Tamandua tetradactyla: one gene and its partner. The protein of the gene in region 2 purifies or fractionates together with the protein of the main gene of each other region. This does not show direct contact. Links are inferred from orthologs where the notes say so. Each region holds a gene or a part of one and is shown on either strand. Other genes may lie near its edges. The genes, in order: TNRC6A and protein argonaute-4.

Region 1 (16,344 bases), on a different chromosome or scaffold from region 2:
AAGGTTAAACAACATGCTCTTAAACAATCAGTGGGTCAAAAAAGAAATCAGCAAATATCTCAAGACAAATGATAAAAAGAACACAACATACCAAAACTTGTGAGATGCAGAGAAGGCAGTGCTGAGAAGGAAATGCATAACCCTAAACACCTACATTTAAAAAGTATTAAGAGCTAAAACCAGTGATGCAACTGAATAACTGGAGAATCTAGAGAAAAAACAGCACATTAATCCCAAAGCAAGCAGAAGGAAAGAAATAAAGATTAGAGCAGAAATAAATGAAATGGAGAGAGGAAAAAACCAATAGAATCAATAAAACCAAAAGTTGGTTCTTGAGACAATCAATAAAATCAACAAACCTTAGCTGGACTGACAAAGACAAAAGAGAGAAGATGCAAATAAACAAAATCAGAAGAGAAGAGGGTCATTACCATGGACCCCAAAGAAATAAAGATCATATAGAAATACTATGAACAACTGCATGCGAACAACTAGACAACTTAAATGAAATGGACAAACTCCTAGAAACACATGGACAACCCACACTGAATCAAGAAGAAATATAAGACCTCAACAAACCAAACACAAGTAGAGTTAGAATCGGTCATCAAAAATCTTTCAACAAAGAAAAGCCCAGGACCAGATGACTTCACAGATGAATTTTACCAGATGTTCCTTGAAATTAACAACATTCCTGCTCAAACTCTTCCAAAAGTTGAAGAGGGTACACTACCCAACTCATTCTATGAAGCCAACATCACCTGAATATCAAAGTCTGCTAAAGATGCTAAAGAAAATTACAGACCAATCTCTTTATTGAATATAGATGCGAAAATTCTCAATAAAATACTTACAAATTGACTCCAACAACCTATTAAAAGAATTATACACCATGACCAAATAATTTTATTCCAGGTATGCAAAGGTCATTCAACACAAGAAAATCAATTAATATAATACACATCAACAAATCAAAATGGAAAAACTATATGATGACATTGATGAAAAAAAAAAGGCATCTGACAAAATCCGGCATCCTTTCTTGATAAAAACACTTTGAAAAGCAGGAATTGAAGGAAACTTCCTCAACATGATAAAGGACATATATGAAAAACCCACACCTAATATCATAGAACGGTGAGAGACTGAAAGCTTTCCCTCTCCAACTGGGAGCAAGACAAGGATGCCCAGTCACTACTTTAATTCATCATAATGCTAGAAGTCCTTGCCAAAACAATTAGCCCAGAAAAAGAAACCAAAGGCATCCAAATCGGAAAGGAAGAAGTAAAACTTTCACTATATGTGCACGATGTCACTATATGACATGATCCTATACTTAGAAAAAAGAAAAAAGGAAAAAAAAACTATGACAAAGCTACTAGAGCTAATAAATGCATTCAGCAAAGTTGCAGAATACAAGATCAACATACAAAAATCAGTAGTGTCTCTATAAACTAGTAATGAGCACTCTCAGGGGAAAATCCAGGAAAAAATTCCAGTTACAATAGCAACTAAAAGAATTAAATATCTAGGATTAAATTTAATCAAGGATATAAAGAATCTATACACAGAAAACTGCAAAACACAGCTAAATGGAAAGACATTTGTGTTCATGGACTGGAGGGCTACATGTTGTTAAGATGTCAATTCTATCCAAATTGATTTTACATAGTCAGTGCAATCCCAGTCAAAATTCCTACTTTCCAGAAATGTTAAAGCCAATTATCAAATTTATTTGGAAGGGTAAGGAGCCTCAAATAGCTAAAACCCATCTTGAAAAAGAAGAACGAAGTGGGAGGATTCATACTTTCTGACTTCAAAGCAGATGATAAAGCCACAGTGGTCAAAACGACATGGTACTGGCATAAAGATAGACATTTTTGATCAATGGAATCAAATTGAGGGCTCAGAAAAAAAGAACCTCAGATCATCTACGCTTTTTTGGCCTATGGTTAATTGATTTTTGACGAGGCTCCTAAATCCACTCAACTGGGACAGAACAGCCTCTTCAATAAATGATGTTGGGAGAACCGGATATACATATCCAAAAGAATGAAAGAGTGCCCCTATCTTACACCCTATACAAAAATTAATTAAAAATGGATCAGAGACCTAAATATAAAAGCCAGTACCATAAAACTTCTAAAGAAAATAAAGAGAAACAACTTTAAGATCTATATAGTGACAGATGGTAGTTTCTTAGACCCTACACTGAAAGTACAAGCAACAAAGAGAAGAAATAGATAAATGGGACCTCCTCAAAACTGACTACGTCTGTGCTTCAAAACACTTTGTTAAAAGTGTGAAAAGGCAGCCAACTCAAAGGAGAAAATATTTGGAAACCACATATCTGATAAAAGTTTAATAAAGAAATCCTACAATTCAACAATAAAAAGACTAACAATCCAATTAAAAAATGGGCAAAAGATATGAACAAGAATTACAGATGGCTAAAAAGCACATCATCACTAACTATTAGAGAAACGCAAAATAAAACCACAATGAGAGATCATTTCATACCTATTAGAATGGCTGCTATCAAACAAACAGGAAACCACAAGTGTTGGAGAGGATGTGGAGAAATAGAAACATTTAATCACTGCTGGTGAGAATGTACAATGATACAGCTGCTCTGAGAAAAAGTCTGATAGTTCTTCAGAAAGCTAAGGATAGAGTGGCCCTATGATCTGGCAATCAGGCTACTTGGGACATACCGAGAAGATATGAATCAGGAATAGGAACAGACACTTGCACACCTATGTCCACAGCAGCATTTTACTCACAATTGCCAAAAGATAAAAGCAACCTAAGTGTCCCTCAACCACCAAATGGATAAACAAAATATGGTATACACATATGATGGGATGCTATTAAGCAGGAAGAAGAAATGAGATCCTAAAGCAAATTTCATGGATGAAACTTGAGGACATTGAGTGAAATAAGTCAGATATAAAAGGACAAATATTATATGATCTCAATGATATGAACTACTTATAACATGCAAACTCACAGACACAAAATGTAGAATATAGACTACCAGGGAATAGAACGAGGCTAGAGAATGGGGAGTGCTTGCTTAGTATGTGTAGAATGTTTAACCATACTGAATTTAAATGTTTCAAAACAGATCAAGGTGACAGCAGCAAGTTACTGCGAGTATAATTAACAGTGCTGAATTTTGAGTGAATGTGTCTGAAAAAGGCAGTTTAAAGTTATGTATGTCACCAGAAGGAAAGCTAGAGGTGAAAACGTGGTAATGTGTAACAGCAAATCTCATGGTGGGCGATGACTGTGATTAACAGTACACATATAAAATAGTTCTTCATGAACTAGAATAAATTCACGACACTATTACAAGGAATTAATAATGGAGTGATAAATAGGAGAAAATATACTTATTGCAAACTATGGATTATATTAAATAGTTATCTTAATATTCTTTCATTAACAGTAACAAATGTACCACACCAATACCAGGATCAATAATAGGGGGGATTAAGGATATGGAATGTTTTGGGTTTTCTTCTATATATTTTTATTTTATTTTTTGGAGTAATGAAAAGGTTCTAAAATTAATTGTGGGGGCGACTGCACAACTACATGATGATCCTGGGAGCCACTGACTGTATATTTTGGATGGGTTGTATAGTGTGTGAATACATCTCAATAAAATTGCATTTTATTTAAAAAATAAAATAAATTTATTTAAAGTGATGCAAAGGGGATACAGGTAGACAGTAAAAAGCAAAATAAATAATTTATGCATAATTGATAATTTAGTAAAGATAAGTATATGACCGCTAAAATCTGTTAAAAGTAGAAGAGTATGAGACCTGCTGCTATACTTTGTTGTCATTTTGTCCTGTGTAGAGCTATTATGTAGCTAAGAGAGTAGTATAACAAATTGATGTCAACTGTAAACATGACTCATTCTCACACATTCTGTGTAACAGAAGTAATGAGGCAGCAAGCTCACTCACACTACCATCCTGGAAAGTCAAGGACTGATATAGCCACAGCATATGAGGAATAGAATAAAATTAGTAAACAAATGCAATTTAGTTACATCATCATCTTATTTCCTGTCCCGGGTATCATATCCTAGAAGACATGCAGAACTCAAGAGCAAACACTGAGTACTAAATATTAACCTTCCTCAGCCTCAGTTTCTTCATATTAAAATTAGGGATAATCATATATATATCTTCTTCATAGAATTTTTATAAGGATTAAATGTGAAGTGCTTACTTAGTACAGTGCCTCAAGTAAACAGATAAATGCCTAGGCATAAACCCCGCTCACCAAGTCTCTGTGGCATCCAAAAGACTGTATTTCCCTACACGTTTTAAGATATTATGAGTGCTTATTATACAGAAACATCTGAAATCTGCAGTACTTGTTCTTTCTGCTCTGTGAATTACAGACATTTCCTTTTCTAATCCTGTTCTATGTCACTGTAATGTCACTCTATAGGATATTCCTTACTATTTATCTGGAATTTTTTCTCCCTTCCTCTCAAATTTCATTTTAAAGGCTTTTTGATAAGCTAAGTAAGTGTTCTTCTGGCCAAAAGTGGTTTCCTTAATACTAAAAGATTTACCACACTTCCTCTCCAGAATTCAGCTAGTATTGTAAGGACACTTCAGGAAAGAAAAAAAAGAAAACCTTCCGCTCTTCAACACTATAATCACAGCCAACTAGGCACATTTTCCCCACATCTCCTCCTTCAGAAAGCCAACTGGAAAAAATACATAAATGCACCATCTGTAACCAAACCCTTCGGCTTCCTGTACTTAAATGCAAGTACAGTTCAACTAAGATATTTGACTATATCATTTACATATCTATCAAAAGGATTAAAAGTTGATGGATTTGATAGGTCTAATTGTTCCATCATGTTTGATACATGCTCCACTAAGACAACATTGCTGTCAGCAATCATCCATCCTTTGAAAGCTAGTAGCAGGATTCCTCAAATCTGCAAGAACCTATGTATCTGCCTTGTTGCTCTAGAAATGCTCCCCTTTTACAAGAACTTGGTATTTTTACTTATTTATAGCCTGTGTTACACGTATAAAGCCTTTGTAATGGATTTTAAGAATCAATGCTATAGGAAGATAGAAATGTTCTATAACTTGATTGGAAGGTGGTTTTATACTGGTGTATGTATTTGTCAAGTCAATGTGTGAATTTTTCTGTATGTGAATAATATCTTGAAATTGATTTTTAAACATAAAATGGGAGGAAATGCAATATTTGGATTAGGGGAAAAAAGAGATCAGAATCAGAATGGCATATTCCACACAATTATTCATGCTAAGCTTCAAATTTTAGCCTCATCTTCCAGAAACCAATACAAATCACTATGTGCACTGTCCAAGAATGAGCTTCCCTACCAGCATGCAATGGCAGAGTCAGCTATGTTAAATGCAGCTTATTCAACAGTTAAGCCTCTTTTTAGAAAATTCTTTCCTCATTAAGCCAATATCTACTTAGTAATTTCCACTCACTGGTCCTAAGGATCCTAGGAATGAAATCAAACCTCTGAGTGATTAATGCTGCAATGACATGCTGAGCATTTTACATGTATTTCCTTATTTATATCTTTTAATGAAAGGTAAAGATATTTTCTTTTTATAAAGAAATCGAGGCTCAGAAAAGTTAAGTAACTTCTCTGAGATCACACAGCTAGTTCAGAGTAGAGTCAGAATTTAAATATAGGGTCTCAAAATCATGTTCTTTCCTTTCACCTACACAATGGCAGTTCTTAAAAGTAAAGTACTAGCTCTCTTTTCAAGAGCCACAGAGAATAAATCTTCTTTTTCTCTGGACAGATTGATAGATCTTCTTATATCTATCCCCTGTACTGTGCATCTCCACCATTTTTTTCTTATTTCTTACCATCTTCTGCAAGAACCCTTTTATAACAGAATGTATTGTCAGGAAATAAAATACTATATTTTCAAGAACCATAGATGTGTAATTAAGGTATTAACATCAAAAGTAACAAAGACTGAACAGTCACTGGTTTTAAATAGAGGACCCAAGGCATTAGGTCCAATTTCAATATTTCTTATTCTTTGAATGTCTGTAGCAGGATGGTATGGCAAAAACATTATACCACAGTTAGTGAACACCCATAATGTACCATATTTGAGGTACAAAGATGGCAACATAGGACGTGACTCCTGGGGATGAGTCAGGACCCGGCATTATGGGACTGAGAGAGCCTTCATGACCAAAGAGGGAAGAGAAAAATGAGACAAAATCAACTGAAATTATTTCACCTTCAGTGGCTGAGAGTTCAAACAGAGTCAAGAGGTTATCCTGGAGGTTATTCTTATGTATTATATAGATATCCCTTTTTAGTTTATGGTGTATTGGAGGGGTTAGAGGGAAATATCTGAAACTGTTGAACTGTGTTCCAGTAGCCTTGATTCTTGAAGATGGCTGTATAACTATACAGCTTGTACAGTGTGACCATGTGATTGTGAAAACTTTGTGGCTAATGCTCCCTTTATCCAGGGTATGGACAGATGATAAAACAATAAGGACAAAAAATAAATAATGGGGGAGTAGGTTGTTAAGTGGTTAAAAAAAATTGGGGGGGGGGAAGAGCGGGGAGGGGAGAAAAGGAGAAGAAATTTAGTATTTCTAAATATTATATGATTTTGAACTATAAAACACAAGCAGAAAGCTTAGCACTGGAGTCACAGGTGCTGGTAAACAGCACAACTTCCTCTTAAGAATGAACAGGGGTGGTAGGCAGGCCACGGTGGCTCAGCAGGCAAGAATGCTTGCCTGCCATGCCAGAGGACCCGGGTTCGATTCCCAGAGCCTGCCCATGTGGAAAAAAAAAAGAATGAACAGGGGTGGGCCGCCGTAGTTCAGCAGGCAGAGTTCTCACCACCATGCCGGAGACCCGGGTTAAAAAAAAAAAAAGAATGAAAGGAAGATAGGAAATAGGAAATGGGATAAAATATGCAGAGGGGGCAATGAGAGTCCAAGTGTCAGCCTAGATCTCTTGAAAAAGTAGGCTCAGGTTGAAGGGGCTTTTAAATGGCCCCAAAATTTGAGTAATAAAATAAACAATGCTAGTAAAGGTTTACAATCCATTGGATAGAAATAAGAACCTATGATTCCATACTGATTTTAATAAGTTAATTAAAAAAGAGTAGAAGGTAACAGATCTTACAGTGAATGTCAATTAATGTATAAATAATAGAATTAGAAAATCTTCACTTACCAACCAATTGATTCAGGCAAGAATCAATGGATGCTAAAAGGAATGGGTGAAAATTTGATGAGAAAAAAGATATTTACAGTCTCCAAAGTATCTCCCCACAAGATAATTATTAATTACAAAGACAAAAATAGTACATTTATAGCCATGATAAGAGACAGATACTGCCTTAACTAGGTGGTTAAAATTACCATCACCAGTAATGGGGTAAATAGACATCATGTCTCCTGACATCAAGCACTGAGAGAAACATCAGTTCTGTGCTATTCCTGACAAAAATGCATAACCTGAATCTAAGCATAAAGAAATATCAGACAAAACACAGATACAGAAATACTGGACAAATACAGCAACATCAACAAACATACAAGAATACTCCACAGAAAAGCTAGCCTGTACTCTTTAAAAATATCAAGGTCTTGAAGAACAATGAAAAACAGATTATTAAACAAATGTAAACTAGATGCCACATGTGATCATGGTTTGAATCCGTGCCCAGGAAATACTGTTTTGTTTTGCTCAAAGGACATTATTGAGGCAACTCATAAAATTTCAATTGAGTAAGGTCTGTAGAGCTAAGAAAGGTCTGTAGAGCTAAGAAGATTATACCACTGTTAATTTCTCAATTTTGATAATGGTACTGTGGTTACTAAGAAAATGTCCTTGATTTTAGGAAACATATGCTTAAGGATTTTTCAGGGTAAAGGAATACCATGACTGCAAGTTAAACAGTTCAGAAAAAAAAACATTATGCATATAAAAAGAAGGAATGATAAAGCAAATGTAGTTAAATGTCAATATTTGAGGAATCTGAGGGAAGGATATTCGGGAATTCTTTGTCCATTCTTGAACACTTTTCTAAAACTGAAATTATTTCAAAATATAAAGCTCAGGTTGAGCAGGCAACAGTGGTTCACTGGCAGAGTCCTCACTTGCTGTTCCGGAAACCTGGGTTCATTTCCTGATGTCTGCCCATGTTAAAAAAAAAAACAAGCTCAGGTTGAGGAAAGTTGGTGAGATTAGAAACTGAGTGTATAATAAACATCCCACCATAACGACAGAATCATTCTGTAGTATACAAAGTATTCTGACATATTATCCATTTTGAACCTACAATATTCCTGAAACAAAACTGCTATTATTCCCAGTTGACAGTTAAAAGAGACCAAGGTTCAGAACATCTAAGTGATTTGTCAGATAATACAAGGCAATACTTTGGTAAGGATGACCCAAATCCCAGGTTTGCCAAATCTGCCCACCTAAAGCCTACTCTTCTTTTGTGGCTTAGCTTAATTATCAGTTCCTTCATTATTCTTTTCAGCCCACACAGACCTCACCCTTGACCTTTAATTACATAACACTCACTTTCTAATTATTTCAGATGTTAATCTCACTTCTTTCAAACAAGACTAATTGTCGCTTTGGAAGAGAAAAACCAGTTCTACTTGTTTTGTACTCCCCACAACTGGACCCTCTAATTAGATGCCAATTTCTGCTTCCTTGCCTTTACTACCTATCACTCCAGCATCACCATGGAAAATGCACTCTTTTCAGTCTTAGTCCTACTGTCATTCTACTTCTTCAACGACCATTTTAAATTCAATCTATTCATATAAGCATTTCCTAGGCAGTACAGCATGCAGTTAAGAGCTCAGGCTCTGGTGCCAAAGAGAAATGGACTTAAATCTCAACTCCACCAGCTAACTGTGTAACGTTAAGCAACTTGTTTAACTTCTCTAAGCCTCCATCTCATTGGTGAGAAGTTTCAAAGTGCAGCTCCCTCAAAGGGTTGTTGTGAAGATTAAATTAGGTAATGCAGATGAAGTCCTTAACATATGTACATAGTAAGTTGTACATGGAATGTTAGCTATAAGAGACTAGATAAAAATATTACACCAGGCTGAGATTAAGACATAAAAAAGGCTGTAATAACAACATGCCCTTCCTCCCACAGAAAAAAGAGCATACAGTAGAAAAAGGAATTGAATATATGAAAACAATTACGGCACAATGCAGAACGAGGTAGATGCCAAATCAATAGCTTGAAGCCCCGGATTCCAGATCCCAAACCAGATCAACTCAGGTACAAGGAATTAAAAACAAACAAAGGCATCAACAAAGAAAAATCGTAAGTCAATGACTCATACATACAGACTGAAAAATCCTCAACAAAAGAATAACAAATCAAATTCAGTAATAAATAAAAAAAGAATTGTCCATCATGGTCAAGTGGGATTTATCCCAGGAATGCAAGGTTGGTATAACACATGAAAATCAACCGATGCAATACATCAATATATTAATAGAAAAGAGGATAGACACCACATGATAACCTCAAAAGACACAGAAAGCACTTGACAAACTCCAACATCCTTTCTATGAAAAAACAACAAAGGAATAGAAGGAAACTTCTTTAACCTGATAAAGACCACCTATGAAAAAACCCACAGTTCACATCAATACTTAATGGCAAAAGACTGAATACTTTTCCCTAAATTCAGGGAAAAGACTAGGATACCTGCTCTTGCCACCTCTATTCATACTGGAGGTTCTAGTTGAGGAAATTAAAGAAAAAGAAAGAAAAGACACCCAGATTAGAAAAGAAGTAAAGACCATCTCTAGTCACAGATGACACACTCTTGCATTTAGAAAATCCTAAGAATACACACACAAACATACATATACACACACTATCAGAGCTAAGAATCCAGTTCAGCACAGCTGCAGGATACAGGCTCAACATAGAAAAATTGACTGTATTTGTATACACTAGCAATGAACAATCCAAAAATGAAATTTAGAAAACAATTTCACTTATGATAGCACTAAAAAGAATAAATACCTAGGAATAAACTTAACAAAAGATGTGCAAGACTTGTGCAGTGGAAACTACAAGATATCATTGAAAAAAAAACTAAAGACCGAGTAAATGGAAAGACAACCCATGTTTATAAGCTGGAACATTTAATATTAATTATGGTGGCAATACTCCTCAAATTGATCTACAGATTCAACACAACCCCTATCAAAACCTCAGTTGCCATTGTTACAGAAACTGGAAAGCTAATCCTAAAATTCAGATAGAAATGTAAGGGACCCAAGATAATCAATATAATCTTGAAAAAGAACAAAAAGTGGAGCTACAGTAATCATGATAGTATGAGTTGGCATAATTATAGGCATACAATCAATGGAATAGAATTGAGAGCCCAGAAATAATCTCTTACATTTATGGTCAACTGATTTTCAACAAAGGTGCCAAGATAAATAGTCTTTCCAACAAATGTTGCTGGAACTGGATATTCACATCCAGATATATATATCTATATATATAAATTAACTCAAAAATGAATCATAGAACTATGTGTAACAGCCAAAACTATAAAATTTTTAGAAGAAAACAAAGAAGTAAATCTTTATGACCTTGGATTGGGTACCAATACCCAGGTGACACTCCACCCCCCACCCTCCAAAAAAGCAAAACAGATACACACAAGACCTACTAAAATTTAAAAGTTTTTCTTCAAGGGATACCATCAGGAAACTGAAAAAGAATTCACAGAATGGGAGAAAATATTTGGAAACCATAAATCTGATGAGGGACTTATATCCAGAATATATAAAGAATTCATACAACTGAACACACACACACACACACACACACACACACACACACACAAATAACCCAATTAACAAATGGACAAAATCCATGGAACTATACTATACAAACAGTGAGCCATAAGTTAAACCATGGACTGTAGGCAATAGTACAAGGTGCTATCATCAATTGTAACAAATGATTCACACCAATGCAAGGTGTTAATAATAGGTGGTATATGGGAATCCTGTATTTCATACATGATTGCTTCGTAAATACACAACTTCTCTAATAAAGACAAGTAATATTTTTAAAATGGGCAAGGATCTGAATAGACATTTCTCCTATGATATGCAAATAGTAAGAACATGAAAAACTGCTGACACCATTAGTTATCAGGGAAATGCAAATCAAAACCACGAGATACCATTTTATACTCACTAGGATAGCTACAACGAAAAAGATAACAAGTGGTGCAATATCTAATTTAGCTGTATGGTCAGTTTATTTGAACAACTTAATTACAAAGAATCTTGATTACGGAGTGAGATTCTGTTGATTTGTACAGGTCAGTGTGATGCCCCAATACATCCTTTTGGCAGAGAATAAAAATGCATTTGCAAAGCCCCCTGAAGGGACTGGAGAGAAAGGAGGAAATATTAAACTTCCCCACTTGAGGAATGCATGATATTCTCACAAGCATTGGGGATAACCAATTTAATAGGCCAAGCCCTCGATCTTGGGGCTGGTCCCTATGAAACTTATTCCAGCAAAGGAAAAGTTAAGCCTACTTATGATTATGCCTAAGAGTCACCCTCAGAGAAACTCTTTTGTTGCTCAGATGTGGCCTCTCTAAGTCAACTTGGCAGGTGAACTCACTGCCCTCCCCTCTATGTGGGACATAACTCCCAGGAATGCAGATCTCCTAGCAATATGGGAAATGAAACCTGGGGATGAGCAGGAACCCCACATCATGGGACTGAGAAAGCCTTCTTGACCAAAAGGGGGAAAACAGAAATGAGACAAAATAAAGTTTCAGTGGCTAAGAAATTTCAGAGTCGAGAGGTTATCCTCAAGGTTATTCTTATGCATATAATCCCTTTTTAGATTATGGTGTATTGGAGTGGCTACAGGAAAATACCTGAAATTGATGAACTGTGTTCCAGTAGCCCTTGATTTTTGAAGATGACTGTATAATTATATAGTTTTTACAATGTAACCACGTGATTGTGAAAACCCTGTGGCTGACACTCCCTCTATCCAGGATATGGATAGATGAGTAAAAAAATAAGGACAAATAAATAAATAAATAAATAATGGGGGGGGGGTAAGAGATTTAAAAAAAACTGGGTAGATCACAATTTAGTGGCCAATGAGAAGGAACACTAAGGGGTATAGGATGTATGGGGCTTTTCTTTTGTCTTTTTATTTCTTTTTCTGGAGTGATATAAATGTTCTGAAAAATGATCATAGTGACGAATACACAATAATGTGATGATATTGTGAGCTACTGATTACGTACTCTGGATAGACTGCATGGTGCATGAAGATATCTCAATAAAAATTAACAAGTGGTAATGATAATGGAGAAAAACTGGAACCCTCATACACTGCTAGTGGGAATGTAAAATGTGCAGCCCCTTTGGAAAACTGATAGTTTCAAAAAATTAGAGTTATTGTAGGACCCAGCAATTCCACTCCAAATACACAAGAGAAATGAAGAAATGTCCAAACACCTGTACATGACAGCTCACAGCAGTATTATTCATAATAACCAAAAAGGGGAAACATCAAAAATTGTCCATCAATTAATGAATGGATAAACAAAATGTGGTAGTCATACAATGGAATATTATTCAGCCATAAAAAGAATAAAGTAATGATAAATGCTACAAATGGATGAACCATGAAAACAAGCTCAGTGAAAGACAGACACAAAAGGCCAAAGAGTAAATATATGAAATGTCCAGAATAGGCAAACCCATAGAGACTGAAGTAGAGTAATTGCTGCACAACTCTGTGAATACACTAAAAACTACTGAATTGTGCATTCTGAATCCTTTAAGAGAGTATATAAATAATATCTCAATAATAGTTTTAAAATTTGAGGGAGAAATTGAAGAATGAATTTGAGGATAGGGTAAGAGGTAGAAGAGACAAGGAATAACAGATAAACTAAGCAGAGAACAACAAACTAAGCTTTAATTTGAGTCACTGGGGAGCCAACAAAGGTTTATAAGAAACAGTGACAGGCTCAGAACTGTGACTCGAGGATGACTAACCTGTAGCAGTGAAAAGAATTCACATTATGGGTCCCTCTCTATTTTCATATGGTAAGCATGTAAATGCTTCATTCAGCCTAGGGATTCCCAAGCAAAACAACATATAAAATATTTCATCCTGTGTATAGTCACTTATCAAAGAGAAATCAAATACACTAGAAATCAATGCATATTTAGCATCATGCACCACCATTTCCTTGTGTGGACACACATGTTTTGGGAGGCTTCTTCAAAAGAACAGAAGGGACTGAAGACAACAAAACACACCATAAAAATATTCAATATCACTGCAGCAAGCTGCTCAATAAATGCTAGTTGATGGAAAGCCAATAGTAGAGAGAGCAAAACAAGTGAGTTAATTGAATCTTGTTTGTTATTATACAAAATCCAATCAATTGCTGTTTACAGAAAATATCTTGTAAGGTTCAAAGTATAAAATTCTTCAACCAGGTTTCAATTTGTTTTCAACATTCCATCTGAAACGGGAAGTCAGCTGAGTCATCGTCACATAACATACCACTGCTAAAAATTCAAAATGCTTTCCCCTAGTATAGAAATGCTAGGATTTCTCCTTCATAGCCAACACATACACATACAGAATATGCAAACACAAATCACTCTTAAACTAAGACCATTTAAAAAAGGAAATTTAAACAGCATCTATTTTCATGGCTTTTGTTTTTAGAACAAAAACCATGTCTTGGTTCAATGTTTCTTTCTGTTCTTAAATCTCACACCTTTTATTGACACTATTCTGCTCCTCTGACACCCTTCCTATAATGCAATACTTCTTAAGTTCTCAGGAACCATGATTCTTTGAAATCTAATAAATGCCATTTTTTAAAAGTTTATTTAAAATTTATTTTTTAAAAAAAGAAACATTCCATTTTTCACACTTCCTCCTATCAGATAAGAGGGATGAGAATTCCTGTTCTAGTGGCACACTGCTACTCGAACTTCAAAAGGGAATTCTTCTTAAGAAAGCACATTACAAAACCAGCTCCAACGCTTCAATTTCTTACCAGAGTTATATCATTGGTCAAAGCTGAAAACAAACAACGTCTATGTCTAGCAATTCATAAGGGTACTACTTCTTTCATAAAACCATCAATCATTACAACTGATCAATTTAAACATGAAGACCTACAATTATTTTAACCTTAAACATTTAAATTACATCTCAGTTTAAACTACTTGCTTATTTCCTAAAATGAAATAATGAGTTAGTGTAAAGGTAAAAGCATTGAATAACCTTCCAGTTAATTTGCTTAAAAATCATGGGTGAGGGAGCATGATATAATACATCAATAACAAATCATCACCTATGGGATATTCCTGCCCAAACATTTTTAAAACCACATCGAATCATAGGAAACCATCAGGCAAATTCACAGTGAAGCCTGCAAAAACAACTAGCCTGGACTATACCATGAAAGCGGCAGAAAAGGCTAGGGAACTGTTCCTGATGCAAGGAAACTAAACAGACAAGACAATTAAATGCAACACTGGATTAAAGAACTGGGGGGGTAAAAGTAAAGGCATCTATAAAGACAGGACTGGGACCATTGGGGAAATTTGGATATGAACGAAATAGTATTGTGACAAAGTTTAATTTCCCCTGTGCGGTAATTCGTTGTTAGGTAAAATGTCCTTGTTCTTGGGAGATACACAAGTAACAAAATGCTAATTGGTAAATAATTAGTAAATCTAGGTAAGAAATATATCTACTCAGTCCACTGTTCTTTTTAGGGTTTTTTCCCCCCTTCTTTATTTAAAATGGAAGGGGGAGTTTTTCTTGAGTGACAGACCTGTCATAAGTCAATCTGAAGAGAACCCATAATATACATACCTAGATCTTTAGTTTTTCAATCACAGGCAATACTTTTGAGGTTGTCATAAAACACAACTATAATGGATTTTAAGTCTTTCCAATTTGTACTTGCAGGCATATTTCAGATGCCAAAATGCAGAACAGGCTACAGAATAGGAGTCAGATTTTATGATGTTTATATTCAAATTTTCCCCCGACAGTTGCTACACATTTTAAACTAAGCATACAATTTGCGCTTTATTTGTTCTATCAATTTATTTATCATATAGTCGGCCAAATTAGGCTAGAAACACATATTAATATGAATTCACCAGCCTGCAAATCATATCCCTGGAAAACAACAGAAAAGTTTAACAAAAACAGACTTTTCAGGTAAAGATTGATGAATTGTAAGAGCAGGATCCATTTTAGTTAGCTAGGGAGACTAAATATTCCAATTTACTCCTGTTGTTACAGTCTCTTATGATATAACATTTTCCCCAGGCAGAAGTGTTTCGAACAGTGTCCCTGTTTACATGCTATATTATGTGGTATAATGAAGTACTTTTAAAAACTTTTGTTGAACAATGGCATTCAATATCTGGTTTAGGAGGGGGAAAAAATAAACAATATAACATGAAGTATGCAGCCTACATTAAAGTAGATTACTCATTTCTTGAAAGGGCATAAAATATAGACATAACTGTTCTTACCTTTTCAGAAAAAAAGGAGATATCAAAATTATATTTTTCCTATTGTGAAGCATAAAATAAAATACTAGGAAGAACACTAGAGTTGGAGTCAAAATGCCTTGTTTGAATCCCAGCCCCGTCACTTGGTCAGAGAATATAACCTTGAGCAAGTTACTTGATCTTCTCAACCACAGCTTTTGTAAAATGAATGGGTCAAAATACTGGCTCAACCATAGCTTTTGTAAAAAGAAGAGGTCAAAATACTGGCTGATCTCTATCTAAGGTCATAACCAGCTCTAAATACTCAATGATTCTATGACTATGGCCTCCAAAATATACGTACAAATTAGACCAACTGCATAGCACTAGAAGAGATTTTATACAACCGGAAAATGAGACATCATATTCTTTCCCCAGACTCCTATTAGTATTCTGATCTCCATTCTGATCAGAGGCTGGGTCAATTTCTCATTGATCCAAAATGGAGACCTCTGTGTATTTAGATTCCTCTCACAAGTAATCAGCCACCAAATCCCAAATTCCACCTCCACAGCATTTCACACTCTCTTCTATCACCCTTTAATTCAGGTGTTCATGACCTCTTGCCCAGATCACTAGCTGATCTCCCATAATTATGTCTAACCAATAATCCCAGCCCCTAAGACTACTACTGTGCTCTTGTCGCTACTCAGTCCTAAAGCATGCAAAAGCTCTCCACT
Region 2 (15,969 bases):
ACTTTAAGCAGCTTAGAAAATGAAAATACCATCTGATTGGGGGAAATTGAATCCGAGAAGAAAGAAGTGACTTCTGCACAGGTACGTGGCTGATCAATGGCAGAGCTAGGAGCTGAACCAGCATCTTTCTAATGGCAATGCCCATGCTTGTTCCATTACACCTTGCTGTGCCTTTGACTCATTTCTTATCTGGGTTATAGCAACAATCTCTCATTGCTTTTCCTGTCTCCAGTGTTCTCCATAGCCCATTCTCCAGGCTGAAGCAAGCCCAACTTCCTAAAACACTGCATTGTACACCTTAACTCAACATTGGCTGGTTTTTCTTTGGTAATATGGGTGTAAATTGTTTGATTTGGCATTAAATGGTGGAAGGAATCAATTTGTTTGGTGACCTTAGGCAAATCATCTTCGATTACAAACTAATCCAAGCCAATTTGTTTACTTATTAATTATATAATAATAATAAATATGTATTTATTGATTCCTGAGTGGTTTTTTGTTATCAAGGGGAGGAAGGCAGATAATAATTTCTAACACTGAGAGATGAACATGTGTTCATTCCCCAGACTTTACTACCAAATCATGTGTTACAATGGAAGCAAGTCTCAGAATTAAACCTGCCACTTGATCAAATATTTATTAACAAGCAGGCAAAACCAGTCATACAACTTGTAGACTTGATGAAATTCCAGCTCTTGGCCCATTTAAGCACTCTGCCAAGCACATTGCATGAAAGGTTTCTTTATGTAACAAGAATATTCTAGCACCAGGATCAAACTAACCCCCTAGTCAGAATAAGGTATCAGGGGAGAAAAGGACTGAAGAGTTCCTAGCCCTTAAAACCACTCTGAGAAATATTGTTGCTAGGCCCACTAGATTCTCATATCTTGGTCACGAAGGTTGGAGGATCCACGTACGATATTTCTAGCCAAATCACATATCTTGACACCACTCATTTTACCCATAAAAACTATATTTGACATCTAGCATCTAGCCACATCTAACTGCTCTTTAGTGCTGACTGGAGATGAAGGTGGTTGACATTATTGCAATAAGTGCTACTAGAACGTGGACTATTGATTGGAATTTCTCAGATACTAACCACTTCTAGAGTTTGATATTTCTTATTAGGGTACTTCAAGTGTTACAAATGGTCTCCAGGTTTTACACTGAAAGTAGCTCACACACATGTATATTACACTTTCTAGTTTGAAATATTAAAAGTAAAATATAGACAACATAACACCTTCCCCTTCTGGGGTTCACTTGTTTAGATGAGGAGAAAGGATGAGCTGATTTCTAAAGTTTCTCCCAGAGTTGACTTTTTATGATTTTATAAATTAATTTTATCTGGGTTAATATCATGGGAAAACTTGCTAATAATTGCTAGAGGGTCATTCAGCATGAAAACCTCTTTTCTAGAACATTCCCATATTTTCTTCAAAGGATCTTTCTTTCCAAAATAGCACTTCTTTCCCCTCGCCCCTGTTCTAGTTTGCTAGCTGTCAGAATGCAATATACCAGAAATGAAATGGCTTTTAAAAAGGGGGAATTTAATAAGTTCCTAGTTTACAGTTCTAAGGCTGAGAAAATATCCCAATTAAACTAGGAATCTCCTCCTTTCGTCAAAATGTTTCCTCTTTTATAGGATTTCAGTAAAGTAATCAAGACCCACCTGGAAGGGGTGCAGACACATCTCCACCTAATCCAGTTTAACAACCATTTTTCATTGAGTCACATCTCCAGGGAGGTGATCGAATTAAAGTTTCAGACATACAGTACTGAATAGGGATTAGAAGAAACAGCTGCCTTTACAAAATGGAATTAGGATTAAAACATGGCTTTTCTAGGGTACATACATCCTTTCAAACTGGCACAACCCCCAACCACATTATCACTCTCTAACCTTTAGCACCCTTTATTTTTCTTCAAAGGACTTATCACTGCCTGATCTATTAAATATTTATCTACGTATTGTCTATTGTCTATCTACTGCTACAAGAATGTAATCTTCATAAGAGTTTATTCAAAACAGTATCACTTGGCCTGGCCAATTTTCAGGTGCTGCATAGCACCAAGATATAGCAACTTAAAACAACCATTTATTTCTGTAATTTTGGCTGGGTTTAGCTGGGCGATTCTGCTGTCTCACCCTTGGTCACTCTTGTGTTTGCATTCATATGGAGGCTCAGTAGGGCTGGATGGTCCAGGATGATCAGGTCTGACCGTTTGCTGTTGGCTGGGATGTCTTGATTCTCCTCTATGTGGTTCATTCAAAAGGATAGCTTGGGTTTCTGAAATGGTGGTGGCAGTAGTTTAAGATAATGAAAGTGGAAGCTACACAGCCCCTTAAGGCCCAGCCTCAGAAGCCACACAATTTTACTTTCACCATATGCTGTCAACCAATGTAAGTCACAAGTTCAGCCCAAATTCAAGAGATGGAGAACAAGATTCTGCCTCTTGATGGGAAGAATGGCAAAATCACTATGTAAAAGGGAGACGACAGAACGCCATGATTATTCTCACAATCTTCCACAATGATCCACAATGATCCTTTGTTGTCATTCCCTAAAAATCTTATCATCATTCCTGTCTCCATGCCTTTACCCATTCCATTTTCCCTGCCTAAAATAGTATCCGTTTTCTTCTTTGCCTATATAAACACGGACATAAACATCAGTTTTTCACTGATGTTTAGCAACCATGGCCCCACCCTTTACTGGCCCCACCTTGGCCAGTAAAACCTTAGTCATTATAACAACTGTGACAAATCCCCTGATTGAATACCAGTGGCAAAATCACCTTTTGGCCCATAGTGGATACAATATCGTTTTGTCTAGCTGTACCCCAACTATCCCCCCCATGACTTCCTCATACTGATCTACTTTTAGTTTCCCAAACATAACATGCTGCATCAAGCCTCTACACATGCCTTGCATGTCTTCTTCTCCCCACGTTGGCCTGCAGAATTCCAATTCATCTTCAAAAATCAGTTCAGGGATCATCTCTTGCTGACTTTCCCAAGGTGAAGCCATTTGCCCCACCTCAGGCCCCCAAAGCCACTTGATTTTAATCTGGTGATATAAATTCAGAAAACTTTCTACTAGTAGATCTATCATTCCACCACACAAATCAATATTAAAAAGAAAGTCTGAAATTACATGTCTATGAAATAATAAGCTATGAAATTTAACATGCTTAGCTCATCCCAAAGTTGTTCCATTTATATTTGCTCTTCCATTATTGCACACTCTTGTTTGCTTGCCTGTTTCCAACCCAGCAATGTGAAACTCTTTGAGAACAAGGCTGTATTTTATTTATCTTTATATTTTCAGCATCTAGAATAGGCTTAAAATAGGTGCTCAAGATTTCTCAAATAAGTGGATGAGTATGTTATGGGTACTTTAGGTTGTGGCAAAGGACATTCTGCACACAAAATAGCTGATGGGAAAAGGCCCTGGTACTTTTTTTTTTTTTTAGGCTATGATATTTTAATGATTCAGTCAGCAATTATTTATTAAGTGTCTACAATGTGTCAGGTCCAGTGCCATTTTTAAAGGTCAGGGGTTAACTATAGTAAGCAAGAAAAATAGCCCTGGCCTTCAAGAGGGCACTTTGCAAAAGAAGCTTTTTAAATATATAGAAAAATGGCAAGGGGTCGTTTTTAAAAGCAGATACTTGGAGAAAATAAGCATTTCATGCCACCAAAGGAAACTTTAAGTAACTCTGAACAATCTTAAAATGAAAAGAAAATGGTTTTAGGATGGAGTGGCTGCTAACCATGGATGGATTGACATGACCAAGACATAACACATGGTGGCGCTGCTTCCCAGGGATGAAGATTAAAAATCCGTGTTTGGTGATTCTAGAGGTTTTAGGACTTTAGAAAAGCAAGTCGATCTCAAACTTGGTTCAGAGGAATAACAGCACTAGAAAATAAACATGGTAGGCTTTCTCAATTTGCAGAGAAGTTGAAATAAAAGATACAATTTAGTTAATTTTCTCCTTCCAAACTTTCTTAAGCCTTTGGGGCCTGCATTTGATTGTGTACCAGTGAGCAAATAAAAATAGAATACTTTGGAATGGGCTGAGCATGTTAAGTTCCATGGCTTATGATTTCATGGACATGTAATTTCAGTATTTCTTTTTAATATTGATTAGTGTGATGGAATGATAGATTCTACTAGCAGAAACTTTTCTGAATTTATATTACTGGATTAAAATCAGCAATATTGCAAAGCATTTCCTACAAATACCATACTTTCAGGTGCTCTGTCAGTTAAGCCAATCTGAGAATCATGAGCTGATCCAAGGTCTGTAAATAAGACAGCAGGGCTCTGAAAAGCTAAATGACTTACATAAGGCCATAAAGTCATCTATGGGACAGGCTCAGGCTAATCCCTTTAAACACTACAGATCTTTCCCTTGCAGCCACCTTCCATCTCCATCAAAAGGTACTCTAGGAACTTCAGCTTCCTTTCTTCACCTCTCATTCATTACTCAACCAATTACAAACTGCCTTCTATCCCCACACCCACCAATAAGATCCTATCATCATCCTCTTTTCCTCTCATGTCTCACTCTATCCACCTTTATCCTTTTATTATTAATTTCTACACTGACGATTCCAAAATATGCATCTATAGCACTCACTCTCATATTTAGAGGGCTAAGATTTTGGGGGCGCTGACTCCGTGCCAGAAGTAATTATAAGTCTCATCTTATTACTCTTCACAGTAACCTTGTGATTTAAGTAATACTGTTACCTCCATTTTAGCAGATGAGGAAACTAAAGGCCTTTAAAAAGCTAGTAACGGGGAGTCACACCCTGTTCTGACTTCAGGGATCCTAGAAGCCATCCAAGAGAACTTGCCTGAGTAGTCTCTGCATTTTCCCTCCTTTCCCTGCTCTAGTTTCCCAGTAGCATTTATTATTGTCTGAAATTTTATTTATGTCTATTTATTTTCTGTTCCAAAAGGACAAGCACTTTGTATTATTTACCAATAGCTATTCTCTACCTTGAGCAGGCATCAAAATCATTTCAAAAGCTTGTTAAAACCCACAGTGGTGAGACTTCCTGCCCCCAAAGTTTCTGATTCAACATGCCTGAAGTGGGGTCTGAGAATTGCATTTCTAACAAGTTCCCAGATGATGCTGATGTTGTTTGTTGGTCTGGGAACCACACATTGAGAACCAAGAACATCCCTGGCTCATGGTAGGGGAATCAATAAATATTTGTTGAATGTACTTGACATATATTATTCTTCCCGAATTCTCTCTCAAAAGTGTATCTTCAAATCTCTCTGCAACTTGTGAAAGAAATTTTCAACTCCCTAATGAAGTATCCAGCAAATGTCAAACTTGTCTAATCATTTGCACCTCAAACCTACTCTGCTTATCTCATAATCACCTCTACTCTGTCTTCCAAATTCAAAATTTTCAATTCTTTCCTTTCATTCCTCCATCTAATCAGTCTCCAAGTTTTGTTGATTCTACCAATAAATGGCTCTTAACTATAACACCCATTTCCCAGCACCTTAGAAAACTTGGAAGAGGGAACCAGCGGAGAGGGTGACCAACCATCCCAGTTTGTCCGGCAGGGTCCCAGAGATGTGGGAGTTTCAGTGTTAAAACTGGGAAAGTCCTGGGCAAACTGGGACTAGTTGGTCATCCTACTGGTGGATAGAACTGTGAGTGGGAGAGGTGGTAGGTGTGGTAAATAGGCTGATTTTTCTTTCCTTGCGCTCTTTGTTCTCCTCATGGTGCCCTTCGATGGCCTAACCCAACCTGAAGCCTGACCACAAGATGGAGTAATGCAGTGCCGGGAGGTTCATTTTGCTGTGACACAGGGCAGGAGAAAGAAAGGACAGGAAATGGACCTGGAGTAGCAAAAAGATAACCAACCTACTGGCAAAACTGGGATTAGAATTCTCTGGGATTACTGTGACTCCAAAGCTTTTACCTTTTTGCTTTACAGAAAGATTGAAGTGGGATGGATGACAAAGATAGTCTTTGCTATGTGAGCAGACCACAATGTTTCTTTTCTTTTGTGCTCCGTGGCATGAATGTCATACACAAGAAGGGGCAGACGGAATATAGCTGGCTGAAGGGCTGGAGCAATTGGAGAAGTCCCCCAGAGGTGCCTGGACTCCCGCTGGAAAGATTCAGAACACCACAGGAGCCCTGGGACCTCCTCCCAGCTCACTAACCGCCTGGAGGGCTCACTCCTCAAATTGCGCTGGATGGGAGTGGCCGAGCTATGGCAAGGGTCAAAGGTCAAAGATCACCACTGGCTTGTTACCTTCTTGCAAGGCCAGAAACCCGATCTCCCGATACTTTAGCGCACCTTCACCCCAGCACCCGCTCAGCTGACAAGACGAATCGCGACCCGCCAACCCGACCCAGATTATACTACTCGGAGGCGCTTAGTGATTGGTAGGACGGAGTGGGGGGCAGAGACTCCGAAAGCCTCTTTCCGATTGGTGCAAATCATCGAGGGTGGGGCTTCCACTCCGGCTGGGCGCGAAAGCTCGAAGCGGGCAGCATAGCTGAAGACGGCTGGAGCGGGTACTCCCAGACAAGGAGCCGGAAAGCTGCTTGGTCCAGAGCACAGCGCTGTGGTGACTGGAATCATGACGGGAGACGTGGCTCCTGAGGTGAATGTATGTACGTCCCTCCATCCGGGCTGTTGAGGCCCGGCGCCGAGGGGCGGGGAGGGGCACTGATGGAGACTAGCAGAGCCGGGTTCGCCTGGCCTGGAGGACTACAACTCCCGGCGTGCCCCGCGGCCGGCTCGGCGGCCCCGGGACTCTGCGGGTTACTTTTCCGCGGGCGGATTCCTGCAGTTCCTGGATTCCCGCTCTCCGGCTTCCGGAGTCTTTGCGGCGCCCCTTGCCTGCAGCCAATTGTTGTCTAGCGCTTGCCCATCTCTCCTCCACCTGCCTCTCTGCTTTGGCGCGTTTCCTGACGCGGTTGCTTTTCCTCTTAAATCGCCCCAAAAGAGGAAGGCCCAGGCCGAATAGGGTCGCCAGAGTGCAGGGCAGGATTCTCGATAGAGGCAGCGTTGTTGGGAAGTTTGAGATTTGAGTCTAGAAGGGGCCTTTGATGTCCTCGCGCGCTGATGTCACCCTAAGCCCTCCCTCCCTCTCCCCCCGTTCTCCGACTAGGCCCGCTGTGGGGAAGGAGCGGTTTCGAGCCTTCCCGATTGATGGCTGACTTTTGGGCTTAAAAACTACATTTCCAGATTCCTACTGTTTTCTGGGGTGCAGAATTTAAGGCGGCAAAACAAAAAGAAACAATAAAAACCCCTCTGGCTAAAATATCTAATAGTTTTTAAATCAAAATTAATTCGAAACATTGATAATGTGTTCCTGACCAAATGGGGGAAAAGAAATGTAATAAAATAAAATTTCAATAACTAAGAGATTTTAAATAGAGTCGGGAGACTGTTCTGGAGGTTACTCTTATGCAGGCTTCAGCTAGATATTGCAAAATGCCATGGTATGCTAAATCCCAACCAACAGTATTCCTGAAAACCCTAAAGAATACCCAGTACTCTGAGACTGTATAATAAAGTTTCACTTACTGAGTTTGCTTTTCTGAAACCTAAAACCTCCAGATTGTTCCTATACCAGCTAATCCCTGAAACCCAGAGGTACCAGTCTCTCCAAGAACATCAACCAGCTGCATCCCCCTACCCCATAAGGTCAACACCCCTTTTCAACATGAAGATTTTAGAATGGTCATTCCCCAAATAGCCCTAAAGTTTGGGAGAAGGTTCAAAGGAGAAGGAGGAGTTATAACCCAGAAGATAGGATTTAACAAATCAGTATGACTATTGAATCATATTGATATTTCTTTTTAGTCTCCAGTGTATTAGAATAGCTAGGGGGAAATATCTGAACTTGTGCAAGTGTAACTCAAATCATACTTTGAAATTTGTTCTGTAACTACTTGTTAAAATGTACTTTGAAATTTATCACTTTTTTGCATGTTATTTTTCAAAATAATTGTTTTTAAAAAAAGAACAAGAAACCCACAAAAATCAAAATTAATGCAAAAAATTCCATGATTTGATAATTGAACAAAATATCAAATAAAGACAAGATCCTCCCTGCCTCACTCACCTTACCCCACCTCATTCTCCTTACAGTAATCCAGTCCCTGATTTCAGTCCAATGAAATTTTATTTACAAAAACAAGCAACTGGGAAAAAAAAAACAAAAAACAAGCAACTGACCCCATGAGCCATAGTCTGCCATTTTGATACTTTAAAAGATATTGCATTAAAATATTATTTATCTTGATTACTGAGTTTTTCTGGTGTGTCACCATCTCCTCCTGCTTTTGTTGTAGCAGCTGCTGCTAGAAATTGCCTGGAATGGAAAAGATTAAAAGCTTTATCGTGTACAGCGCTGTGTGGTTATCTAAACTCAATTTCTGCATCTGCAAACAGAACTAATCCTTTTTGGATTGTTGGAAGGATAATCAGGATTTACCTCATAATTCCCAGTGATTCCTCAGTGTGTTACATTTTGTCATTATTTTAATAGGTGTATCAGACATTGAAATCGATTTAATAGTTATTTGAGAGGTAAGGCCTTGTGCCCTGTTACATTACAGATGTTAATATTTTCCCCCTTTTTAAGAAGTTTTGACTTAGAGCCCTGAGAACACTAAGGAGGTAGTAGACCTGGCTTCTGGGGTCTGCTTTGTCACTAACTGGTCAAGTCATTTAATACACCTCTCCTTAAGTTTTTCTAGTTTGTGACTTTTTAAAAATAAATTCCTAAACCTATACAGACTTAGAGAGACTGATACAATGAACCCATCACTCAACTCCAACACTTTTCAAATCATGGCCAGTCTTGTTTCTCCTATACCCTTACCCACTGCCCCCTATACCTGATTACTTGGAAACAAAACCATACATCATAGCATTCCATCCACATATTTCAGCATGCGTCCCTAAAAGCTAAGGGCTGTCTTAGTTTACTAGGGCTGCTTTAACACCACAGACTGTTCGGCTTAAAGAAGAGGAATGTACTGTCTCATAGTTTTGGAGACTATAAGTCCAAAATCAAGGTGTTGGCAAGATTGTGCTTTCTCTGGAGTCTGCAGCATTCTGGTGGAGGCTTGTTAGCAATCCATAACTATCTCTGCCTTTGTCACATTATCATCTATCTCCTGTCAACTGTCCACATTTCCACTGCTTATAAGTCATACTGGATTGAGGCCTCCCCTGATTCTATATGATCTCACTATAACTAATAACATCTTCAAAGATCCTTTTTACACATCAGTTCACATTCACAGAATGGGGAGTTAAGATTTTGTAGGGGATGTGATTTATCCCATAATAGGGCTTTCTGAAAAAACATAAATCACAATTAACACTAAATTTTTAATTGCTAAAATTGAAATTTTAGAATTGCTCCTTAATATTAAAACTCTAGTTGACTTACATTTTTTTCAATTTTGTTTGAATCAGGATCCAGACAAGGTCTGTATGTTGCAATTGTTGATAAATATCGTAACTCTATTTAATCCCTCTCTTTTTTCTTGCAATTTTATTTGTTAGAGAATCTGTATAGTTTGTCCTGTAGAAGAGTTTCCTACATTCTGAATTGCATCTATGTGGTGTTACTTAACATGTTCCTCTGTCCCTATATTTCCTTTAAACGAGTAGTTTGGCTAGAGACTTGATCATATTTAGATTTTATTGTTTTGGCAAGAATGTTTCCTAGGTGGTATTGAGTACTTCTATCAGGCAGCACATAAGTCTGGTTGTTTCTCTTGTTTTGTCATGTTAGCCACCCTTGAGGATCATTGCCTAGTTCTGTTATTTGAGGGAGGGTTGCTAAAATTCTGGTTGTCTAATTCTATCACTTCTTTTTTATTGATTAGCTAGGATATTTCCCTAAGGGAAAACTTCCTCTCATCAATCATTTTTGTACACAGTGAGGAACTGTTTACACAGGAAAACCATAATAAATAACTGCTTCCTTTCATTTATTTACTATTATTAAAAATAAAGTGTTGGTTCTATAGCATCCTTCAAAGGTGACCAATGAATTTTTATTTGTTTTTGTCCAGTACTTCTTAATGCCATGCCTTCATTGAACCATTGCACAAGTTTCTTCATTACTTCTGATGTTCCCATGACGATTTGTGTATCATTAGGTATTGGTGCTTTCTGTCACCTGCTGGTTAATGTAAAGTATATTTGCATTCTGTAGGTTCACCTAGAAATCAATGATCCAAAACTGATTTCACATGAAGAGGCAGATAGTCCCTCAGACAGTGGACAGGGCAGCTGTGAAACAGTGGGGCCCTTGAGTGAAAGAGGTTTGTAATATCTCATACTTTTATTTTCAAGAATAGAACATAGAGTCCTATGCTATAAGTAGATTGGATTAATTTCATTATTCTCCTGATTTGTTAAATTATTAATGCACTAAGCTTATTGTTTGTTTGTTATAAAAGCAAAAAAACATTATACCTCTTTGAAAATATCTGTATTATATTATTGAATGTATAGCATGTTTAGAAATTACCATATTGCCTAGTTGAACACATTCATCCTATAATAAAGGGATTTTTAACACCTGTCAGAAGGATTAGAACAACTTGACACATTGTAAATATATATAATTACATTTCTCAGCAAGAGGCATTTTTCCAGGGAAAATGTTTTTCAAAATGTATTTTTAGAGTTTCTTTGCTACATTCAGTTCTTAGTGGTAGTTACAAAATATCACAAGGTAATGTCTCACTAGTATAATTGCATGTTTTTGAAAAGTGAGGGAACAAGGAGGAAGGACAAATGATTGTATACCTTTAAAAAGAATTGTGTTTCCTCCAGATTCAGATGAAGAGATTTTTGTGAGTAAGAAACTGAAAAGCAGGAAAATATTCCAAGACAGTGATTCTGAAACAGAGGATAGAAATGCCTCTCCAGAGAAAACTACCTATGAGAGTACAGAAGAGGAAAATAAAGAGAATGTATATGCTGGGAAAAATGGAAAACCCAGAAGAATTTACAAAACTTTGGCAGACAGTAATGAAAATGACACTGAGGAGTCTTTGTATTGGGAAAATCTTAAAACCCAAGGGATACCTTGCTTTGATCCAAGTCTCCAACCTGAAAAATCTGTGGACTTTACACTTGACAGACAGATTGTAAAAAATCCCATATGTCATAAAGAAGGAACAGGAGGAAAAGCAAAAGTAAAATCTAAGAGAAGACTTGAGAAAGAGGGGAAAAAGATGGAAAAAATTAGGCGGCTAAAAAAGAAGGAAACAGTGAACGAGGTACATTTTAAAGAATAATTTGCTATTTCTAAGGCAGATTAACATTTTAGAAAATTTGCTTTTAGTCCTCAAGTTTGTCCCTACGCTCAGAGAATATAACTTTGAGTTGATTGCTTTGCACTGGAAGTTATGGGTTATATGATTTAAACTATGTAGGTCTCATTATCTGTTTTGGATACTCAGAAGAGACCCCCAAATAAATGGGTTTGTGATTTTCTTTGTTAGCACATACAGTAATTCTTTACTGCTTGTGAACTGATAAAAAGTAAGTTTCAGAGGAGAATTTTTATGCATCTATCAGTCAAGCTTTATAAACTAGTTGGTTAATAAGTTTTTTGTTTTTCAGAAACTATTTATTGGTTAGTTTATTTTGGACGGTTACATAAAATCGCAGCTTGAACTTCAAGGGATAACTGTGGGTTACATTGTTCTAGAATGCCACATAACTTGTCTGCTGATGCAACGTGGGCTTTTTCTGGCCTAAACCAAATTGCCATGTGATGTTTTGAAATACTGCATTTTTAAATGACTGAATTGTGCTTTTTCTTTATGTACTATTCAGGAAGCTGATGTGAAACAGCCATTTAATGACAGTGGCTGTCTTCTTATGGATAAAGACCTTTTTGAAAGTGGGTTGGAGGAGGAAAATAACTCTCCGTTGGAAGATGAAGAATCATTAGAATCAATAAGGGCAGCTGTGAAAAACAAAGTGAAAAAGCACAAGGCAAGTAAAGGATGATTGCGGACAGAGCTAACCAGCTGCTTCTAACTTTTGCTTTATTTTTTTATTTACAGTTGGAACCTTATTTTTTTATAACCTGAAGAAAAGCATGTGTAAATTGATTTGAGGTTTTCAGTTGTTAATTTTGGAAACTTGCAGTATAAGTGATAGACATGCTAACTTGTTCAGAAACTAGTACTTTGCTATTGCCTGTTTAAGAATAAAAAAAAAAAGAAAGAAAGATACATTATGTTGTGGTAAGAAGCAGGTAAATAATAGGTCAGATGTGTGAATTTTATAACCTTGTGACCTCTGAGAATGAACCCTCTAGGAAGGAAATCAAAGAGAGGCCTCAGTCAAAAACATCGTTTCCTTAGTGTCTGGAAGTATAATTGTTCTTCCTAAGGTTTTCTTTCACTTCCTGGGAGTCATTATCCCTCCTTGGAGAAAAATGTAAGAAAGAGGTATAAGAAATGAGGATCCACGCTCCATTTGAGACATCTAGGTTATTTTTCTAACCATTTTTGGGTACTGTATCTTTCAAAATTCCTCTTTGATAGTTACTAATTTTTTACTAATGTAGGATGAAGTGTTGCTGAACTATTAAAGCAGTCAAGAAACATCCACTTACATTACTTTAGTTTTTGTTCATATTAATCAACTTGCAATCTCTTTTAGAAAAAGGAGCCATTGTTGGAGAGTGGGATCTATTCAGTTGAAGAAGAAAGTGAATTATCAAAAGGCACCATGAGGAAGGTAAGTCGAGCCTTATGTAATCATGTAGACTTTGATGTCTTTCCCATGAGATTATGGGCTTCTGTGTCTATTAGAGTATTTTTCTGGTACCCAACTTACTGCTTTGCACGTAGTAGGGACATATATAGATTGGATTGAATTAATTCTCTGAGAGTTGCGAATAAATGAAATCCTTGAGTTTAGATTGTATTGAGTTCATTAGTATTTACTATTCCATCATCTTATTTGGAGGGAGCAGACTCTTGAAGGATGAATACCTTTCTGGAAAATACCACTAATGTAATCTCACTTTTTGTTTTCTTTAAGGAAAGGAAGGCAGCCAAGTTAAGTAAGGAAGCGTTAAAAAAACTGCATAGTGAGACTCAGCGCCTTATTCGAGGTAATACAAACCTGTATGGTAAATTTTTTTTTCATATTTACATTTTTATTCAATATTTCCAAATATATACTTTTAAAAGGGGGGTTGTGAGGGTAGTCCAATGGTAGAATTCTCGCCTGCCACGTGGAAGACCCAGTTTGGATTCCCGGTCCACGCACTTCCCACAAAACAAAACAAACAAACAAAAAACAAAAATTCAACAAATGGTACTGCAGTAACAAAATACATGGAAAAATAAGGAAATGTGACCCCGCCATAGAGCATACAAAAAAAAAAGTCTAGATTCTTACACCAATTATCTCAAATGAGACCATGCAAAATAATTCAAAATATGTACAGCAATCATTTGCTTCCCTTCTGTGTCTCTGTTTTACACAATGATGTGATCAACAGAACTGAATGGGATGTGTTTGCTTGGAAAAAGTTACCTATTTATAAAACATGTAGGACAATTTGTACCTCATGTCTACAAGTCTTAATTTACAATACTAGTGTTTTTCTGTTTTTTATTTGAGTGGCACATGGGACTGAAAAACTTACCTCTGCAATTTTATGCACACACCACACAAAAAACACAAATGATCCTCTCAATAGACTTTATTATCTGTAGTAGTTTCAGCTGTTCAGCTTGAAAATATTGGCTTATTCTCTTAAGATAAATACATTTCCTTAGGGCCTTTCCTCTAAATTTGCTAGACTGAATTCCAGAAGAATCCCCCCTGAATTTAAAGTGTGACTACTGTAAATATTCTGCTGCATTATGCAAATAGAAAACCTTGGAATGCTGCTAGTTGCATCAACTAAAGACAATCATTTGGTAAATGGCACTGAAGATCCTGACCCAAGTGGTACTACTTGATCCAAATGTTTCTGACCAAAGAAAATTATACAATGATATCTATAGGCTAACATTTTAAGAGATGGTTGATATCAATACTGTACATATTTTACATGTCAAATACATAGTTCAAAAGTTTATAAAATAGGATCATGCATTATTACCTCTAAGAATATCATATACTTGTATTTGGGGGATTCCTCTTGAATATGATATTCTTAGAGGTAATAATGCATTTCAAATGGAAGCAGTCTTATTGTATAGTAAATTTTGTAAGCTCAATTTGAATGTTGGGGATTGATTTTTTTTAATACTCCTAATATACATTTGGATTATAATATCGAGTTTAGAACTGATTTGGTGAATGGACACTGTCCTAAATCCCTTGGAACTTTAGTATAAACTGTAGTTCAGAACTACAGTAGAGGTAAAAAAGAGGTTTTTTTCTTAAATGGGTGTCTGTGGACTGGCTGTATCAGGATCTCTTTGGAAGATTTTCAAATATAATCATTCTTAGGCCCCACAGAGAGTCTGAGTCAGTAGCTTTGAAGTGGGGTCTAAGAATATATATTTTTAAAAAGCTTCCTGGATCATTTTTATTTCACAACCAGGTTTAAAAAGCTACTGGTCTTTGGGGAGCTCTTTTGTATTTATCTCCTGCCTTTGTTGAACTGGGGATTTTTTTCTGATGATGGCCTTGGCTGTACCGTTTGGTTAACTGAATATGAAGTGATATTTTCAGAACATACAGTACTTGTATTTGCTTGTTTTGTTCCATTTTATAGAGTCAGCACTTAATCTTCCTTATCATATGCCTGAGAATAAAACCATTCACGATTTCTTCAAACGTAAACCCCGACCCACCTGCCGGGGAAATGCCATGGCACTGCTGAAGTAAGAACCCTCTTTCCTTGTGATTATACTTTTCTTAAACATTCAGTTTTGTAGCAAACATCTGGAGTGAAAAATTTAGATTTCTCACTCCCTTAAAACTGACTTAACTGATTTTCATTGTGCGCTAAGGAGTGAGAATGTTTAACATTTAGGATAATTTTGAAGTCCTGCTTATTTTTCCCTTCTCCAGGTCATCTAAGTATCATTCAGGCCACAACAGAGAAATCATAGACACTGCAAATACAACTGAAATGCACAGTGACCACCATAGCAAAGATTGTGAGCAGACAGCAGGCACGGAATATGAAATGGAAGTTAATCCGCTTCCTACAGTTTCACAGGAACCCCAGATTACTACTGCATCAGATGAGTTTTGCAGTAAGGATTTGGTGGGAAGTGAAGAGGTGGACATTCAAGAGAAACAGAAGCAGAATAATGCTAGACCTTTACCTGGGGACAGCGCAGTGGAGCAACTGGAATCCAGCTTCCTCATGAGCAAGGAGGGCAATGAATGTCAGGCTGGAGGGCTTGTGGTGCTTGAACCTCAAGCCTTGGAGAGAGAAGAAGGCCTGAATGGAACAGAAACAGACCGAAAGGTGAAAGAGCCTGGACAACGAGCTAAATTAGCAGCAGCTGTGCCACCTGAAAAAGGGAGACGATTCGTTCTGGATAGACTTAAGCAACTGGGAATAGATGTTTCCATTAAACCTCGACTGGGTGCCGATGACAATTCTTTTGTGATACTTGATGAACCTGAAACCAACCGAGGTAATCCTTTGAATTGTGGGATGTCTCCCCTGAGTGATTTATCCTGGAAGCTTTCAATTATTTGCACTGTGACGTCAGGGATACAGGAGAAACCAATACCTGCATGCATGATCTTATTCAACAAATGTACCAGATACAGGTAGAATCTCATTTTAATGAATTTGATAGGACATCAGAATTATCTAAACCTTGTTTAAAATGGAAGCCTGTTGATAGTTGATAATATACGAAGTAAGTACATTGCTGTTTTGTTGTGTTATTGGGAACTTACTTCTACCCTACCAACCTGAAATTCTAAGT

The links.
Region 1: the proteins of protein argonaute-4 (region 2) and TNRC6A purify together in Homo sapiens (co-immunoprecipitation; 4 studies listed by BioGRID and IntAct, with this or other methods). This does not show direct contact. The link is inferred for Tamandua tetradactyla from reciprocal best matches to the Homo sapiens genes AGO4 and TNRC6A.

Annotation. Positions count from the first base shown.
Region 1 is NC_135349.1:32,288,941-32,305,284, forward strand, and holds the start of TNRC6A (trinucleotide repeat-containing gene 6A protein), read right to left. Parts: upstream 7,211-16,344; 5' UTR 1-7,210.
Region 2 is NC_135328.1:189,608,718-189,624,686, forward strand, and holds the start of protein argonaute-4, read right to left. Parts: upstream 6,392-15,969; 5' UTR 6,302-6,391; intron 1-6,301. Other genes in the region: CLSPN (claspin), read left to right, coding at 6,633-6,662, 10,239-10,347, 10,865-11,313, 11,876-12,037, 12,713-12,790, 13,097-13,169, 14,793-14,901, 15,092-15,669.